Linked DNA regions of Saccharomyces cerevisiae S288C. The gene in region 1 interacts genetically with each later gene. Each region holds a gene or a part of one and is shown in the gene's direction. Other genes may lie near its edges. The genes, in order: MPC1, MAE1, CDC19 and COX23.

Evidence for each region.
Region 2: mutations in MPC1 (region 1) and MAE1 together harm fitness more than expected from each alone (negative genetic interaction), as found in Saccharomyces cerevisiae (4 studies listed by BioGRID, with this or other methods).
Region 3: mutations in MPC1 (region 1) and CDC19 together harm fitness more than expected from each alone (negative genetic interaction), as found in Saccharomyces cerevisiae (2 studies listed by BioGRID).
Region 4: mutations in MPC1 (region 1) and COX23 together harm fitness more than expected from each alone (negative genetic interaction), as found in Saccharomyces cerevisiae (2 studies listed by BioGRID).

What each region holds. Positions count from the first base shown.
Region 1 is NC_001139.9:356,500-360,012, forward strand, and holds MPC1 (pyruvate transporter MPC1), read left to right. Parts: upstream 1-2,136; coding exon 2,137-2,529; downstream 2,530-3,513. Other genes in the region: MIY3 (Miy3p), read left to right, coding at 1-473; YGL081W (uncharacterized protein), read left to right, coding at 878-1,840; KXD1 (Kxd1p), read left to right, coding at 2,945-3,513. UniProt on the Saccharomyces cerevisiae protein: Mediates the uptake of pyruvate into mitochondria.
Region 2 is NC_001143.9:381,910-386,840, reverse strand, and holds MAE1 (malate dehydrogenase (oxaloacetate-decarboxylating)), read left to right. Parts: upstream 1-2,115; coding exon 2,116-4,125; downstream 4,126-4,931. Other genes in the region: transcription factor TFIIE subunit TFA1, read right to left, coding at 1-1,083. UniProt on the Saccharomyces cerevisiae protein: NAD-dependent mitochondrial malic enzyme that catalyzes the oxidative decarboxylation of malate to pyruvate.
Region 3 is NC_001133.9:69,550-73,953, forward strand, and holds CDC19 (pyruvate kinase CDC19), read left to right. Parts: upstream 1-2,236; coding exon 2,237-3,739; downstream 3,740-4,404. Other genes in the region: YAL037C-A (uncharacterized protein), read right to left, coding at 3,877-3,969.
Region 4 is NC_001140.6:339,786-343,240, forward strand, and holds COX23 (Cox23p), read left to right. Parts: upstream 1-1,879; coding exon 1,880-2,335; downstream 2,336-3,455. Other genes in the region: BZZ1 (Bzz1p), read left to right, coding at 1-199; ubiquitin-conjugating protein DMA1, read right to left, coding at 324-1,574; protein channel TOM71, read left to right, coding at 2,564-3,455. UniProt on the Saccharomyces cerevisiae protein: Required for the assembly of cytochrome c oxidase.

The sequences.
Region 1 (3,513 bases):
GCGAATTGTTTACTTTGGTCACGGATCCTACTTACAGAAATCGCAAGGACATAAACTGGCAGTCGCTTAAATCCGTGAATGGATCGCAGGATTCTTACTACACGGGCAACTTCATTCCCACAAGTCTGGAAAGAACAGAAACTACTGCTACCGGGCAAAATGAGTCCTACATTTCTAACCCATTCAGTGACCAGAATACAGGGCATGTAACTAGCAACCAAGTTAATAGTGGAGCAAGCGGTGTTCAACAAATCGAAGATGATGAGGAACTAGCTAGGAGGTTACAGGAACAAGAAGATATGCGTGCGGCAAATAACATGCAAAATGGTTATGCTAATAACGGTAGAAATCATCAAAGGGAAAGGTTTGAAAGACCTGAAAAAAATTCAAAGAAAAACAAGTTCCTTCCCTTTAATGGGAGTAATAAAGAAAAGAAAAGAGACAAGTTGAAAAAAAACTGTGTAATTATGTGAAACCATGATTTCTTTTTCGTCTTTTGTATCTTTCTTATAGAATTATTTTTTTTGTGGGTGTCACCACGCTAGCGCTTATTTTTAACTCTACCACTTTTTAATTTTGTAAATGTATATTTTACTCCTTCATGGCGTTCAACTGGCCTATTTGTGATATATAACCTGATAATACCAATGATTTATTTTTTTTTACAGATTCCTTCTCCTAAATTTGTCCAAACAAAACGGCTCAAGAAGCCCCGAATAATGCACTACAGCGGAAATTAACATTTTTGGGATATCTTCACAGAATACTAAAGCAATCAAAGTGGCTCATAGTATTGAGTTTTACAAATTACTTGAAAAAAAAATAATCACTAGGCAGTTGCATAAAGTTGAAACTGAGGGAAGGAACTGGGGAAATCATGGGTGATATAAGAACTTTTGTTTTCGCTATAGAAGATACGGAAACAACACAAGGTTTGTGTAAAACCATTGGCCGTTCGAGTTCATTTGATCAAAATAGTCTATGTAAGCCGTACAATCTATATTTTGATGAGCCAGAACTAAGCAGACAGCATGCTGTCCTATGTATAAAGACACCAATACCCAAAATTGAAGGAGTTCCCTCTATAGAACAACTCCGCATCTGCATTCGGGATTTGAATAACAAGACTGGTACAGTAAACTTAGTGTCTGATGGGCCAAATGATGAAATTGATTTGAAAAATGGTGATGCTTTTGGTTTGATTGCAATTGATAATCATCCTTTTCGCGACAACCATCATTTAGCCGCCAAGTTAATTTTCCGAATTGAACTTGAGTATTTCGATGAAGCAAGGGAAATCGTAAAGTGCACTATTACAAATGTAACATTTGGAAAGAATAATACAGTGTCATCTTTCCCTATTCATTCTGCAACATCCACAGAAGATAGCGATTCAAGTTGGTACGGATTGTCGGAAGCGAGTACGCAAACGGAAGTTGCAGATGAGTGTCATGAAACGAACACCATATTGACTCGAGGTGGTAGGTTTTCTATCCTTTCGTTGAGAAAAAGAGGCAGCAAGCAAGACCAGAAGATCTGCAGTAACTTTGATAGAAAAATACATGAAACGAGTTCTTTCGAAGAAGAAATCGAAGTTTGCACTGACACAGACACCACAGAAGAAAAAGAAGAAGAAGAAGAAAAAGAAGAAGGGGATGATGAGGAAGGAGAAATAGAACTTGAAATTATTAGAGTAAAAAGAATAAAGGGCAGGACGAAGATAAAGAAGACGCTTACTTGCTTCTCGAAAAACAAGAAAATTATTACCCCTCAGCACTCCAATAGTATGTGGTTACTACTAATAGTAATCTTGATTTTTGACCGCCTACTATCGAATTAAATATAATTTTATAACCCAGTTCTATATTGCTGGGTGGTATTATAGCTTCATGGCTAGTCAAATAAGTGGAGTTTTTTGCTCTGGACGTGGCCTGTAAAGTTCTCTTTTGCGACGGCCCCCCGCTTTAACCGAGGCGAAATGACAAGTGCTTTCTGGCAAAGAAGGAATAGCCACTACAACCTGCGGTCTCCACCTTTCTCCACCGATAATCTATTTAAACACTCACTTGCCAATCAGCAAACGTCAATACATCTACATATATACGTATAGATTTTATTGCACTGTGATCAAAAAGAATGTCTCAACCGGTTCAACGCGCTGCAGCACGCTCATTCCTTCAAAAATACATCAATAAAGAAACTTTGAAATATATTTTCACAACACACTTCTGGGGTCCCGTATCAAATTTCGGTATCCCAATTGCTGCTATATATGATCTGAAAAAAGACCCTACACTAATCTCTGGCCCAATGACTTTTGCTTTAGTTACCTATTCAGGTGTTTTCATGAAGTATGCTCTTTCAGTATCACCCAAAAACTACTTACTGTTTGGATGCCACCTTATTAATGAAACTGCGCAATTAGCTCAAGGCTATAGGTTTCTCAAATACACGTATTTCACAACAGATGAGGAGAAGAAAGCTCTAGATAAGGAATGGAAAGAGAAAGAAAAAACTGGTAAACAGTAAAACGAGCAGTCTAAGAACCTGAAGTAGGTGACTAGATGGAAACATAAAAAAGAACAAGCAAGGATTAAGAGGATGGATATGTTCATGCATATTCTCTCATTTTTACCTCTTCTCCTTTTCATATATGCATGCTATAGAACCATTATCTCTATGAGTTTCATTTTATTTAGTAGTTAGTATTGAACCAAACTACATAAGATGACATATTCTAAATAACCTAAATAATTATTATGTCTTTATTCAAATATTTCTTTTATATCCAAGACAATTTCCCTCTCATCTCCTTTGTATTACTGATTATATTCAGCCATTCAAAAAGTTAAAAAAGAACGTTTTTCACTGAAAAGTCGCAGCTATATTATAGTAAAATAATAAGAGAGGCAAAATAATGGTTACCAACACTTAGTGAAGAACAATGGTGACCGGAATATCGGAGGAAAATGATGATGAAGAGACTTTTTCGGCTGTTCATTCTTCAACACCCAGTATTAATTCTCAATCCTACGCGATTCCTATAACAGAGGAAATGTCCAGCTCTTTCCATGATTCGATCAGCACCACTAGCAACTCAAGTGGTAGCTTCGATAGTGATGGAAGTAACGTTTCAGATGTTGTGGAGCAAAATGAAATGGACAATGAATCTAACGTTGACGAAGATTTGTTCCTAGATAACGATATCCCTCAGTCAAGCAATTTGCTACCCACGGATGCCCAGGATCCTGGTCCAATATTTGACGTTTCTAGATATATTTTTGATTCTCTAAAACAATCTATTGATTCTGCTGATTTCTCAGAGGCACTTTCTCTACAGACCAAAACCTCCGCTGTTATAAATTCGAAAAGCCTAGAGCTTAAACAATATATTGATGAAATGAAGAGCAGGCTCACTCAACTGCAAGAGAAGTTTGAAAATGGTGAGGCTACTTCAAAAAAAATAAAACGTGATTTAGAAACTTCAAGAAAGAACATCGACTATTTAAACGC
Region 2 (4,931 bases), on another chromosome or scaffold:
GTAGTAATCATTCAACGTCTTTTCATTCTCTCTTTCTTCCATTTCTTGCTCGGTCAGAGTTCTGTTATTTTGATAGGATGTTTCCTGTGCAGGTTCATTATCAGGATTTATAGAATCCATGGCAGATGCAGTAACTACAGGATCGAACTCCTCTTCATTATCCAGTCTACCAAGAGCAGTTTTACCGATGGTACTCTGTTTATGCCATTCAGGGACAGCGTTTTGTTTTCTTTTCTCTTCAGCCTGTCTCTCTTGCAATTCCCTTTGAGCCACTTCATCACTTGCCGTGGTAATGTTGATGTGTAATGTGGCTTGAGAGTTAGCACCGGCACGTCTACTACTGTCGTTACCAAGAGCAGTACCCATAAGATTTGGCAATGGAGCAGAATCTCCCGGTCTGAACATGGTGCTGCCTTTCTTTGGATTGTACGTGTATGCTGCATGTGATTGATTTTGAGGTGGTATCAAGCGAGCCAATGCAATTTCGAAAGTATTCTCCTCAATTCTTGAATCATCAATCTTTTTCAAAGAATCAATGATTGGCTGAATTTGGTCCATTAACCTATTTAATTTATCTTGCTTCTCTTTGTTTTTTTTACCAGAATCATCTTCCACCAACGGTTCATCACATAGGGAACATAAAAATTCTGTCCTATCAAAATTCAATAATTGTACAGCTTCCAATTGTGTGTACTTGGTCAAACAAATCGGACACATGTAACCATTAGGTTCTGAATTTTTGTCCAAGTCATCCTTCAATCTTTGTACGACTTGATGGACCTTCCATTTGATTGCGTCAATAGCATGAGGATATTTTACATAGTAGTAAACTCTTTCCACACTTTTTGAGTTTGGAGGGTATTCTCTTTGTTTGTGTATGGATATTAACCTGTCTGATCTTAGTCTAGCAATTAGCGGCCCCAGTTCCGTCTTATTTATGCTCAACAATTGTTTCAAGTCATCTTCAGCTAGGACCGAGTGAAATAGTATAGCATCGAGTACCAGTACAAAGGAGCCACCATAAAACCCCCTAACGACGAACTTTAAAAGATTTTTCACAATATCATCTATAGGTCTATCCATACTCTACTCACTGCAGCAGCTGCTTCCAGTAGTTTTCTATCTTTGGCTCGATTAGGACGAGCAATCATGCTGCCAAGTTTACACTTAATTAGCTTTTTTCCTAATCTTGCAAGAACCGCTTAGATAATCACTACACACGGTAACGCTTAGTAAAAAACCAAAAAAAAAAACCAAGTATTATTACGTATTAACTCACCAGACTACAATAGTAACCTGAAATTCGCCCATGGTACAATTTACACTTCCAAATTTTTTTGTTTTTTTATCATTTGGACATCCTTTGCCCTTCACCCAGTGTCAATCATTACAACAATTATAGCGATTCATCACAGTGCAAGGATCACTCTTAACGAAGGAAGAAAAGTTAGAAAAATTTCTCATATGTTTCGCGTTTATTTTCGATACCAATTCGTTTCGATGTGTGCAAATTGAATATTGCATCGTGCATTGCAAGGTTTTTCAAATTCTTGCGTCTTGTCAACCGTTCAAGGCGATTGAAAGATATTCACTGCATATCTTCTTATACGAAAAGCATCGAAGAAAAAACACCCATACAACCAAGTATAGACGGAACAATTCGGGTTTTTACTCTTCCCTAGGCGGTTTAAATCGGATATATGAAAAGAAATCAAAAAAAAAAAAAAAAAAAAAAAAGAATTGGCGCATTTGAAGTTTTATTATCGTACGCGTTATTGTTTGCGCTAACATCGCATCGCATCAGCTGACTGAGTGACTGAGTCCCCTTGGCTTCGACTCATCATCGCCTTTCTATGGTGAAAAATTTTCGCAATTTCCTATTACTGTACCGCGTATGCTCCATTTGACTTCCTTTGGTCTACAGCTTTAGCGCTATAGAGTTTCGAAGTCGTACCCGTTACCGGCATGATTGACATATTATATATATATATATATGCGTATCTTTATACTTACTCGTATATTGTGTCCAGCTTCGGATATTTGTGCTTTTGAAACCTACAACTTTTAACGAGTTTAGTGCACATAAATACCAAGACAAAAGGTAGAAATACGGTTATGCTTAGAACCAGACTATCCGTTTCCGTTGCTGCTAGATCGCAACTAACCAGATCCTTGACAGCATCAAGGACAGCACCATTAAGAAGATGGCCTATTCAGCAATCGCGTTTATATTCTTCTAACACTAGATCGCATAAAGCTACCACAACAAGAGAAAATACTTTCCAAAAGCCATACAGCGACGAGGAGGTCACTAAAACACCCGTCGGTTCTCGCGCCAGAAAGATCTTCGAAGCTCCTCACCCACATGCCACTCGTTTGACTGTAGAAGGTGCCATAGAATGTCCCTTGGAGAGCTTTCAACTTTTAAACTCTCCTTTATTTAACAAGGGTTCTGCATTTACACAAGAAGAAAGGGAAGCGTTTAATTTAGAAGCATTGCTACCACCACAAGTGAACACTTTGGACGAACAACTGGAAAGAAGCTACAAGCAGTTATGCTATTTGAAGACGCCCTTGGCCAAAAACGACTTCATGACGTCTTTGAGAGTACAGAACAAAGTCCTATATTTTGCATTAATAAGGAGACATATCAAGGAATTAGTTCCTATCATTTACACCCCAACCGAAGGTGATGCTATTGCTGCCTATTCCCACAGGTTCAGAAAGCCAGAAGGTGTGTTTTTAGACATTACCGAACCTGATTCCATCGAATGTAGATTGGCTACATACGGTGGAGACAAAGATGTAGACTACATCGTTGTGTCGGATTCGGAAGGTATTCTGGGAATTGGTGACCAAGGTATCGGTGGTGTACGTATTGCTATCTCCAAATTGGCATTGATGACGCTGTGCGGTGGTATTCATCCCGGCCGTGTGCTACCTGTGTGTTTGGACGTCGGTACTAACAACAAGAAACTAGCCCGTGACGAATTGTACATGGGTAACAAGTTCTCCAGAATCAGGGGTAAGCAATATGACGACTTCTTGGAAAAATTCATCAAGGCCGTTAAGAAAGTGTATCCAAGCGCCGTTCTGCATTTCGAAGATTTCGGTGTTAAGAACGCTAGAAGATTACTAGAAAAGTACAGGTACGAATTGCCATCATTCAACGATGACATTCAGGGCACCGGTGCCGTCGTGATGGCCTCGTTGATTGCTGCTTTGAAACATACCAACAGAGACTTGAAAGACACCAGAGTGCTTATTTACGGTGCCGGGTCTGCGGGCCTCGGTATCGCAGATCAAATTGTGAATCATATGGTCACGCACGGCGTTGACAAGGAAGAAGCGCGCAAGAAAATCTTCTTGATGGACAGACGTGGGTTAATTCTACAATCTTACGAGGCTAACTCCACTCCCGCCCAACACGTATACGCTAAGAGTGATGCGGAATGGGCTGGTATCAACACCCGCTCTTTACATGATGTGGTGGAGAACGTCAAACCAACGTGTTTGGTTGGCTGCTCCACACAAGCAGGCGCATTCACTCAAGATGTCGTAGAAGAAATGCACAAGCACAATCCTAGACCGATCATTTTCCCATTATCCAACCCTACTAGACTACACGAAGCCGTTCCTGCCGATTTAATGAAGTGGACCAACAACAACGCTCTTGTAGCTACCGGATCTCCTTTCCCACCTGTTGATGGTTACCGTATCTCGGAGAACAACAATTGTTACTCTTTCCCAGGTATCGGTTTAGGTGCCGTACTATCGCGTGCCACCACCATCACAGACAAGATGATCTCCGCTGCAGTGGACCAACTAGCCGAATTGTCGCCACTAAGAGAGGGCGACTCGAGACCTGGGTTGCTACCCGGCCTGGACACCATCACCAACACTTCTGCGCGTCTAGCTACCGCTGTGATCTTGCAAGCACTCGAGGAGGGAACCGCCCGTATCGAGCAAGAACAAGTACCGGGAGGAGCTCCCGGCGAAACTGTCAAGGTTCCTCGTGACTTTGACGAATGTTTACAGTGGGTCAAAGCCCAAATGTGGGAGCCTGTGTACAGACCTATGATCAAGGTCCAACATGACCCATCGGTGCACACCAACCAATTGTAGACGAAGCATAACCAACGCCTGCACTTAAAAAAAAAAAACCATATAGAGTAATATATAAATATATATATTTGTACAATTTTTTTCTTTATTTTTAAAAAAAAAATAATACTTGACATACCGTAATAATAATAATAATAATAATAATAATAATAATATAATAATAATACAATAATACAATAATAAAAACAATAACAACAGCAACAATAGCACAAGAACATTAACCCAAGCAACTAGCAATAACAAGAACGGTAATTATCAAAACAAAATATGATACCAAATGCGGAAAAAATCGGCACATATCCATAAAACATACACATCGTGCTTAGCGATCTACATACCGTGGAGGAATGGGTGGAACGGTTACTGACGACGGCCGCGCGGGGTTTTGTGTTGGGTGTGATGTCCGGATGCAACAGCAGCAAAGGAGAGGCGCAGCGGACCTTCCTTACTTTCTTTTTCTTCTTTTCTTTTCCACCTCCCCTTGGTGAGAGAACGAATGGGAACAAAAAAAAAATGCACACATCAGCTGGTGGAGCCAAGTATAGACACGGCCCGGCGCATTCGTTCTCTCTCTCCTTCTGTCTCTCGTTCTCGCTGTAAATGTGGTTTACTTCGTTATCCTCTGTACCGTAATCGTACTGCATTGTATTCTGTTTCCTCTACTGCTAGGTCACTGCCTAACAGCTACTGCTACCGAGACTGTGACGCTGAAGTTTATTCGCTCTGATATCCCACAAAGAACTCTATTACACACAGACAAGGCAAGGCAACGCAAGTCAAGGCAAGACCACAACTATATCCCCTTC
Region 3 (4,404 bases), on another chromosome or scaffold:
CTCTGCTTTATTCGTGCTACTCGTATGTGTATGCTATCTTATTAGCTGCCTATTTCATTTCTCTTAGTATTCGCATTTAAAGCTGAGAAATTTTTTGATAATCATTTCCCGATGAAAAGAAAAAAGGGAAAAAGTCGATAAAAAGAGGTAAGCGAAAAGAAAAAGAAAAAATAGAAAATTTGGGTGGGGGGGGCGGAAGATCCCACGCCGCGCAAGAGATATTTCAATATTACTACTACATAGTATATGCGGCGCTACCATACGTACAACTTTTTTTTCTTTTTTTTTTTTTTTGCCTTCTAAATTTGTAATTCGGTCACACTTTTGTCGCAGTGTTGCAAACGTCTTGAAAGAATTGTAGGTGTTGTAAACCACAACTTGCTCCCTTGAAAGCGTTGCTGATTATTTCCTTTGAACCTGTTGCATTGTTGTATTGTTGTATTGCTGCTGATGTTTTAGGCACTTAGTATTAGATATTCCTAAGCCTCCCTCACCATAAATTACCTTTATTACTTGCATGACTATTATTAGCAGAGCATGTAGTATGGGACTCAAGACCGATATGATACACACCAAAGACGTAGGCACCGGCGATTAAATCAAAGGCTCCGATAGCCGAAAAGTGAGAAGAAAAAAAAAGGAAAAAAAGGAATTGTCCTAATGAGCGGTGTGGCCGACTTGCCATAATATCAGTTAGGGCTACTATCAATGTTTTATCTACGTTGGAGTAAGATCGTTTATCACTTCCATATTTGGACCAAATGAAAAGTTCAATCGGCCAAGTATTTCATGGATGGAATGACGTTTGGTAAGGAAGTGCTTTTTCTTTTTCCACATATTTTCCCTTTCTCTCGGGGAAATTTTGTTTCTAAACATAAAAAATAAAGCAACAGCAAAAAAGAGGGTCTGTCCAGCGAATAAGAAGAAAACCTCCTTTTCGGCTTTTGAAGATAGGTTGCAGTTGTCTGCGGGCACAAAATGGGCAATTTTTTTAATACTTTTTACGTATGAGACAAGATTTTTTTCGCCAATTATATCGCATGAAGAATAACCAGAGTTTTTCTCCGAACGTTAAGGGAGTTGAAGTAAAAATAAAGAAAGGACCAAATGAGAATGGGTATGCTTGGTCTTAGTCTTCGAATCAAATTCTGCTTCCCTGTTCATGGCAACGTCACCTCAATTATTTGGAAAGGGGGGGTTTTCCGACTTTATTTGAGATGACTTGAGATGTGTGTCAATGCTAGTATTTTGGAGATTAATCTCAGTACAAAACAATATTAAAAAGAGGTGAATTATTTTTCCCCCCTTATTTTTTTTTTGTTAGAATTGATCCAAATGTAAATAAACAATCACAAGGAAAAAAAAAAAAAAAAAAAAAATAGCCGCCATGACCCCGGATCGTCGGTTGTGATACGGTCAGGGTAGCGCCCTGGTCAAACTTCAGAACTAAAAAAATAATAAGGAAGAAAAAAATAGCTAATTTTTCCGGCAGAAAGATTTTCGCTACCCGAAAGTTTTTCCGGCAAGCTAAATGGAAAAAGGAAAGATTATTGAAAGAGAAAGAAAGAAAAAAAAAAAATGTACACCCAGACATCGGGCTTCCACAATTTCGGCTCTATTGTTTTCCATCTCTCGCAACGGCGGGATTCCTCTATGGCGTGTGATGTCTGTATCTGTTACTTAATCCAGAAACTGGCACTTGACCCAACTCTGCCACGTGGGTCGTTTTGCCATCGACAGATTGGGAGATTTTCATAGTAGAATTCAGCATGATAGCTACGTAAATGTGTTCCGCACCGTCACAAAGTGTTTTCTACTGTTCTTTCTTCTTTCGTTCATTCAGTTGAGTTGAGTGAGTGCTTTGTTCAATGGATCTTAGCTAAAATGCATATTTTTTCTCTTGGTAAATGAATGCTTGTGATGTCTTCCAAGTGATTTCCTTTCCTTCCCATATGATGCTAGGTACCTTTAGTGTCTTCCTAAAAAAAAAAAAAGGCTCGCCATCAAAACGATATTCGTTGGCTTTTTTTTCTGAATTATAAATACTCTTTGGTAACTTTTCATTTCCAAGAACCTCTTTTTTCCAGTTATATCATGGTCCCCTTTCAAAGTTATTCTCTACTCTTTTTCATATTCATTCTTTTTCATCCTTTGGTTTTTTATTCTTAACTTGTTTATTATTCTCTCTTGTTTCTATTTACAAGACACCAATCAAAACAAATAAAACATCATCACAATGTCTAGATTAGAAAGATTGACCTCATTAAACGTTGTTGCTGGTTCTGACTTGAGAAGAACCTCCATCATTGGTACCATCGGTCCAAAGACCAACAACCCAGAAACCTTGGTTGCTTTGAGAAAGGCTGGTTTGAACATTGTCCGTATGAACTTCTCTCACGGTTCTTACGAATACCACAAGTCTGTCATTGACAACGCCAGAAAGTCCGAAGAATTGTACCCAGGTAGACCATTGGCCATTGCTTTGGACACCAAGGGTCCAGAAATCAGAACTGGTACCACCACCAACGATGTTGACTACCCAATCCCACCAAACCACGAAATGATCTTCACCACCGATGACAAGTACGCTAAGGCTTGTGACGACAAGATCATGTACGTTGACTACAAGAACATCACCAAGGTCATCTCCGCTGGTAGAATCATCTACGTTGATGATGGTGTTTTGTCTTTCCAAGTTTTGGAAGTCGTTGACGACAAGACTTTGAAGGTCAAGGCTTTGAACGCCGGTAAGATCTGTTCCCACAAGGGTGTCAACTTACCAGGTACCGATGTCGATTTGCCAGCTTTGTCTGAAAAGGACAAGGAAGATTTGAGATTCGGTGTCAAGAACGGTGTCCACATGGTCTTCGCTTCTTTCATCAGAACCGCCAACGATGTTTTGACCATCAGAGAAGTCTTGGGTGAACAAGGTAAGGACGTCAAGATCATTGTCAAGATTGAAAACCAACAAGGTGTTAACAACTTCGACGAAATCTTGAAGGTCACTGACGGTGTTATGGTTGCCAGAGGTGACTTGGGTATTGAAATCCCAGCCCCAGAAGTCTTGGCTGTCCAAAAGAAATTGATTGCTAAGTCTAACTTGGCTGGTAAGCCAGTTATCTGTGCTACCCAAATGTTGGAATCCATGACTTACAACCCAAGACCAACCAGAGCTGAAGTTTCCGATGTCGGTAACGCTATCTTGGATGGTGCTGACTGTGTTATGTTGTCTGGTGAAACCGCCAAGGGTAACTACCCAATCAACGCCGTTACCACTATGGCTGAAACCGCTGTCATTGCTGAACAAGCTATCGCTTACTTGCCAAACTACGATGACATGAGAAACTGTACTCCAAAGCCAACCTCCACCACCGAAACCGTCGCTGCCTCCGCTGTCGCTGCTGTTTTCGAACAAAAGGCCAAGGCTATCATTGTCTTGTCCACTTCCGGTACCACCCCAAGATTGGTTTCCAAGTACAGACCAAACTGTCCAATCATCTTGGTTACCAGATGCCCAAGAGCTGCTAGATTCTCTCACTTGTACAGAGGTGTCTTCCCATTCGTTTTCGAAAAGGAACCTGTCTCTGACTGGACTGATGATGTTGAAGCCCGTATCAACTTCGGTATTGAAAAGGCTAAGGAATTCGGTATCTTGAAGAAGGGTGACACTTACGTTTCCATCCAAGGTTTCAAGGCCGGTGCTGGTCACTCCAACACTTTGCAAGTCTCTACCGTTTAAAAAAAGAATCATGATTGAATGAAGATATTATTTTTTTGAATTATATTTTTTAAATTTTATATAAAGACATGGTTTTTCTTTTCAACTCAAATAAAGATTTATAAGTTACTTAAATAACATACATTTTATAAGGTATTCTATAAAAAGAGTATTATGTTATTGTTAACCTTTTTGTCTCCAATTGTCGTCATAACGATGAGGTGTTGCATTTTTGGAAACGAGATTGACATAGAGTCAAAATTTGCTAAATTTGATCCCTCCCATCGCAAGATAATCTTCCCTCAAGGTTATCATGATTATCAGGATGGCGAAAGGATACGCTAAAAATTCAATAAAAAATTCAATATAATTTTCGTTTCCCAAGAACTAACTTGGAAGGTTATACATGGGTACATAAATGCAGATGCCAGTGAACTATGTTCAGCTTCTGGCCTTCGTTTGGTGGTTTAATCTATTTTTTATAAAAAATGACGCGGGCAGATTCAATTAGTGTCCTAAATTTATTCGCGTTTCAAGATTTCAAAGGATTGATCCTCTTATCAGAAACGATAAGTGCTACTCCGTCCTATTCTTCTAGCCATCTAGTACGTATTCTTTTCATAACATAATCCCTTATTTACAGAATGTGTTTCGAAGAAAAATTAATTAGATGGGAAGAAAACTGA
Region 4 (3,455 bases), on another chromosome or scaffold:
AGTACCACCACCAAGAAGGAGTACACTACCTGTTAGGACGATGGAGGCCATATATGCCTACGAAGCACAGGGAGATGATGAGATTTCAATTGATCCGGGGGACATAATTACTGTTATCAGAGGCGATGACGGTAGCGGGTGGACATATGGTGAATGTGACGGATTGAAAGGTCTATTTCCTACAAGTTACTGTAAATGAACGAAGGAATGAACTGAAACTATTAAATATTTTCCCTGGCCGCCACTTTTTTGAGAGGTATGACGACTCTATGTTATATATATATATATATATATATATATATATAGCACAAAATTTCATGTGATCAATCTACTAGGCGAACACCTAAATTGTTATTTATTTCCATGTCTATATCCATTTCAATGTCTGGCTCATCTTCGTCCTCGTTTTCGAATTCGGATTCAGATTCGGATTCCAAGGTAGTCTCCAAATCACAGTTTGTCCTACAGTTCGGACACATGAATTGAGGATAATTCATAATAACCAATCTTCTTACACAATGAAAATGCCAACTATGGGCACATGGTGATATAAAAATGGCTTGGCAAGGTTTTATTTTGTTTAGACAAATGGAACAGTCTTCTTGTTCTAAACCAGTAGTTAGTTTCTGTAGATTTTTTATTCGGCTCAAGGCTTCTTTATTAAATGCATTGGCCTTTAATTTCCAAGACTTGTTCAATTCTATTTTCATCTTAACACAACGATATATCTCTTCCGTCCCGCCGCGAAAGTCCATACCCAGCTGTATGATATCTCCGTCATGTAAAAGGTAGTCCTTAGAAGTGGTAGACGCAGAAGATAGACGCTGGTGGTTCAAAAAGGTCCCACTGGAAGACTTGACATCTTTCAAAAACCAGTTTCCTTGGTCATCAACTTTGAAACACCCATGGGTCCTGGATATCACTTTTGATTTGAACACTACGGGATGATACTGATCTGGAATTTTGGAAATTGCCTCTCTTACTCTTTCGGTGTATCTTCCGATGATAATTTGCGAGCCTGCGCCCGCAGTCCTGATAATGGGGTCAAAGAAAAGACCCTGGTTAGCCACAGACGTGGATGAAGTATCTATAAACGGGGTTAGCCTAATGCTGAAAAGCCCGTGCTTGTCCATTCTGCGTTTCAAAGTAGATTGGTCTATCCGTTCCGGTAGCGAGGTATTTGGTGGGAGATGTATATCAAGTGAAAACTCCGTCTGATTGACTTGGTTTGGAGGATATATGAAATGGCGGATACTCTTTGTAGTGTTCACCGCGGGGGCTGTATTCGTCTCCACAGTGGCAGCAGCAGCAGCAGTAGCACCAACATTGCCGTTTGCGCTACCGTTATTTGCAACGACTAAAGAAGTAGCCGTACGCGAGGGCAAAATACCTAAACCATTGCTAACGCTATTATTATTGCTGTTATTGTTAGGCGTATCGTTAATGGTGAGAGAGATGGATATCGGTAGTCTGATGGGATTGTTGAACTTGGTGTGATCGTGAGAGGTAGCGATGCCAGAAGCAGCAGGTGGCGTCTGGTTTGGGGGAGATGAGGGAACAGTATTAGTAGACATCCAGGAATAACCACTATACAGAACGTATGTGCACAGGAAATCGACACTGTAAGAAGAAAAGCTCACGGCACAAGAGTCAGAAACAGGGCAGTGAACAAAGAACGAGAAGTACGGTTTACAGTTGAGCCGTACACCGAGTTCCTCTTTGAATAATATCGAACCTATACACTAATGCACTAATGTGTTTCTGTTCACACCCAGAATTCTAAGGCTCCTGCTGATCCCAATGCTAAGGTTTATCAATTTTCTCATTCTCTTTGTGGGCCGTAAACAGTGATATTCTCTCACGAGAGCGCTTAAAGAGAATGGAGAAGCCCAGCCCCACCAGGCGGCAAACTAGTAGTCTCTCCACTATCTCCAACGGTATGACCATGACCAACGATAATAGGGATACCACAAATACCAACAGTGGCTCTACAAGCAGCAACAATTCACAACCATCTTCGTCTTCCACGCCACCAGCGGCCAGTGGACCCGTAACGGACAGAACCAAAGTCAACTATGTACCAAAGAGCGACGATCCGTCGTCATTTCAATACTACCCAGACGACCCGGAGAACCCGGTCAATAAGTATAAATTCGCGTTAAAGGCTGACAGTCAGTACTATGATCCTTGTGAGGAGTCCTCCAAGCTCAGTTTTCAGTGCCTCGAGCGCAACGATTACGACCGATCCAAGTGCCAAGAATATTTTGACGCATACCGCGAATGCAAGAAACAATGGCTGACAGCCAGGAGGAAAAACAGACAGCAGTGGGAATGAGGCAGCCTTTTCTTCTTGTTTGTTCAGCTGTGATCTGTTTTCTATATAGATCGCCACTACGCGACGTAGTGTTCCGACAGGCAGCCACAGCACACTCTAGTGCAATGTGAAAAACTAATTCGCAATGGTATGTAAATAAGCAAGCTAAATTGGATTTTCAAAGTGCGAATAAAGAATTTTTTGTATATATCTCTACATACTTGTATATACCGAACATAAGAAGCTCTTATGGCCGAAAACTCCCTCCTGAGGTTTATCACCAAGAACAAAGTGGCCATCCTAGCAACGGTCTCTGCGGGGACTGCTGCTGTGGGTGCTTATGTTTACTACCAGCAAATTAAGCAGCAGCAACAGCAGCAATTGAAGGGTACAAAAGACAACCGACGTCAAAGTGAGGCCTTTGCTGGTCAAAATGAAGACGAGGCGGACTTAAAGGACGACGGCAGCGTCGTAAGTGGAAGTAATAAGAGGAAGAAGAAGAAGAATAAACGCAAGAGGAACAATAAGGCAAAATCGGGAGAAGGGTTTGACTATCCCTCCTTGCCCAATGGCGAGCCTGATATTGCCCAATTGAAAGGCCTATCACCCTCCCAGAGACAAGCGTATGCCGTGCAACTGAAGAACAGAGGTAACCACTTCTTCACTGCTAAGAATTTTAATGAGGCCATCAAATACTACCAGTATGCCATTGAGCTGGACCCGAATGAACCAGTGTTCTATTCCAACATATCTGCTTGTTACATTTCTACGGGCGACTTAGAGAAGGTTATAGAGTTCACTACAAAGGCACTTGAGATAAAACCTGACCATTCTAAAGCCTTGCTGAGACGTGCATCTGCCAACGAGTCACTGGGCAACTTCACTGATGCTATGTTTGATCTATCTGTTTTGTCATTGAATGGTGACTTTGATGGAGCCTCCATTGAACCTATGCTGGAAAGAAATTTAAATAAGCAAGCAATGAAAGTACTAAATGAAAACCTATCGAAGGATGAAGGCAGAGGCTCGCAGGTTTTGCCGTCTAACACATCTCTGGCGTCATTTTTTGGGATTTTTGACTCTCACTTAGAAGTTTCTAGTGTGAACACCAGTTCAAACTACGATACTGCATACGCTCTAT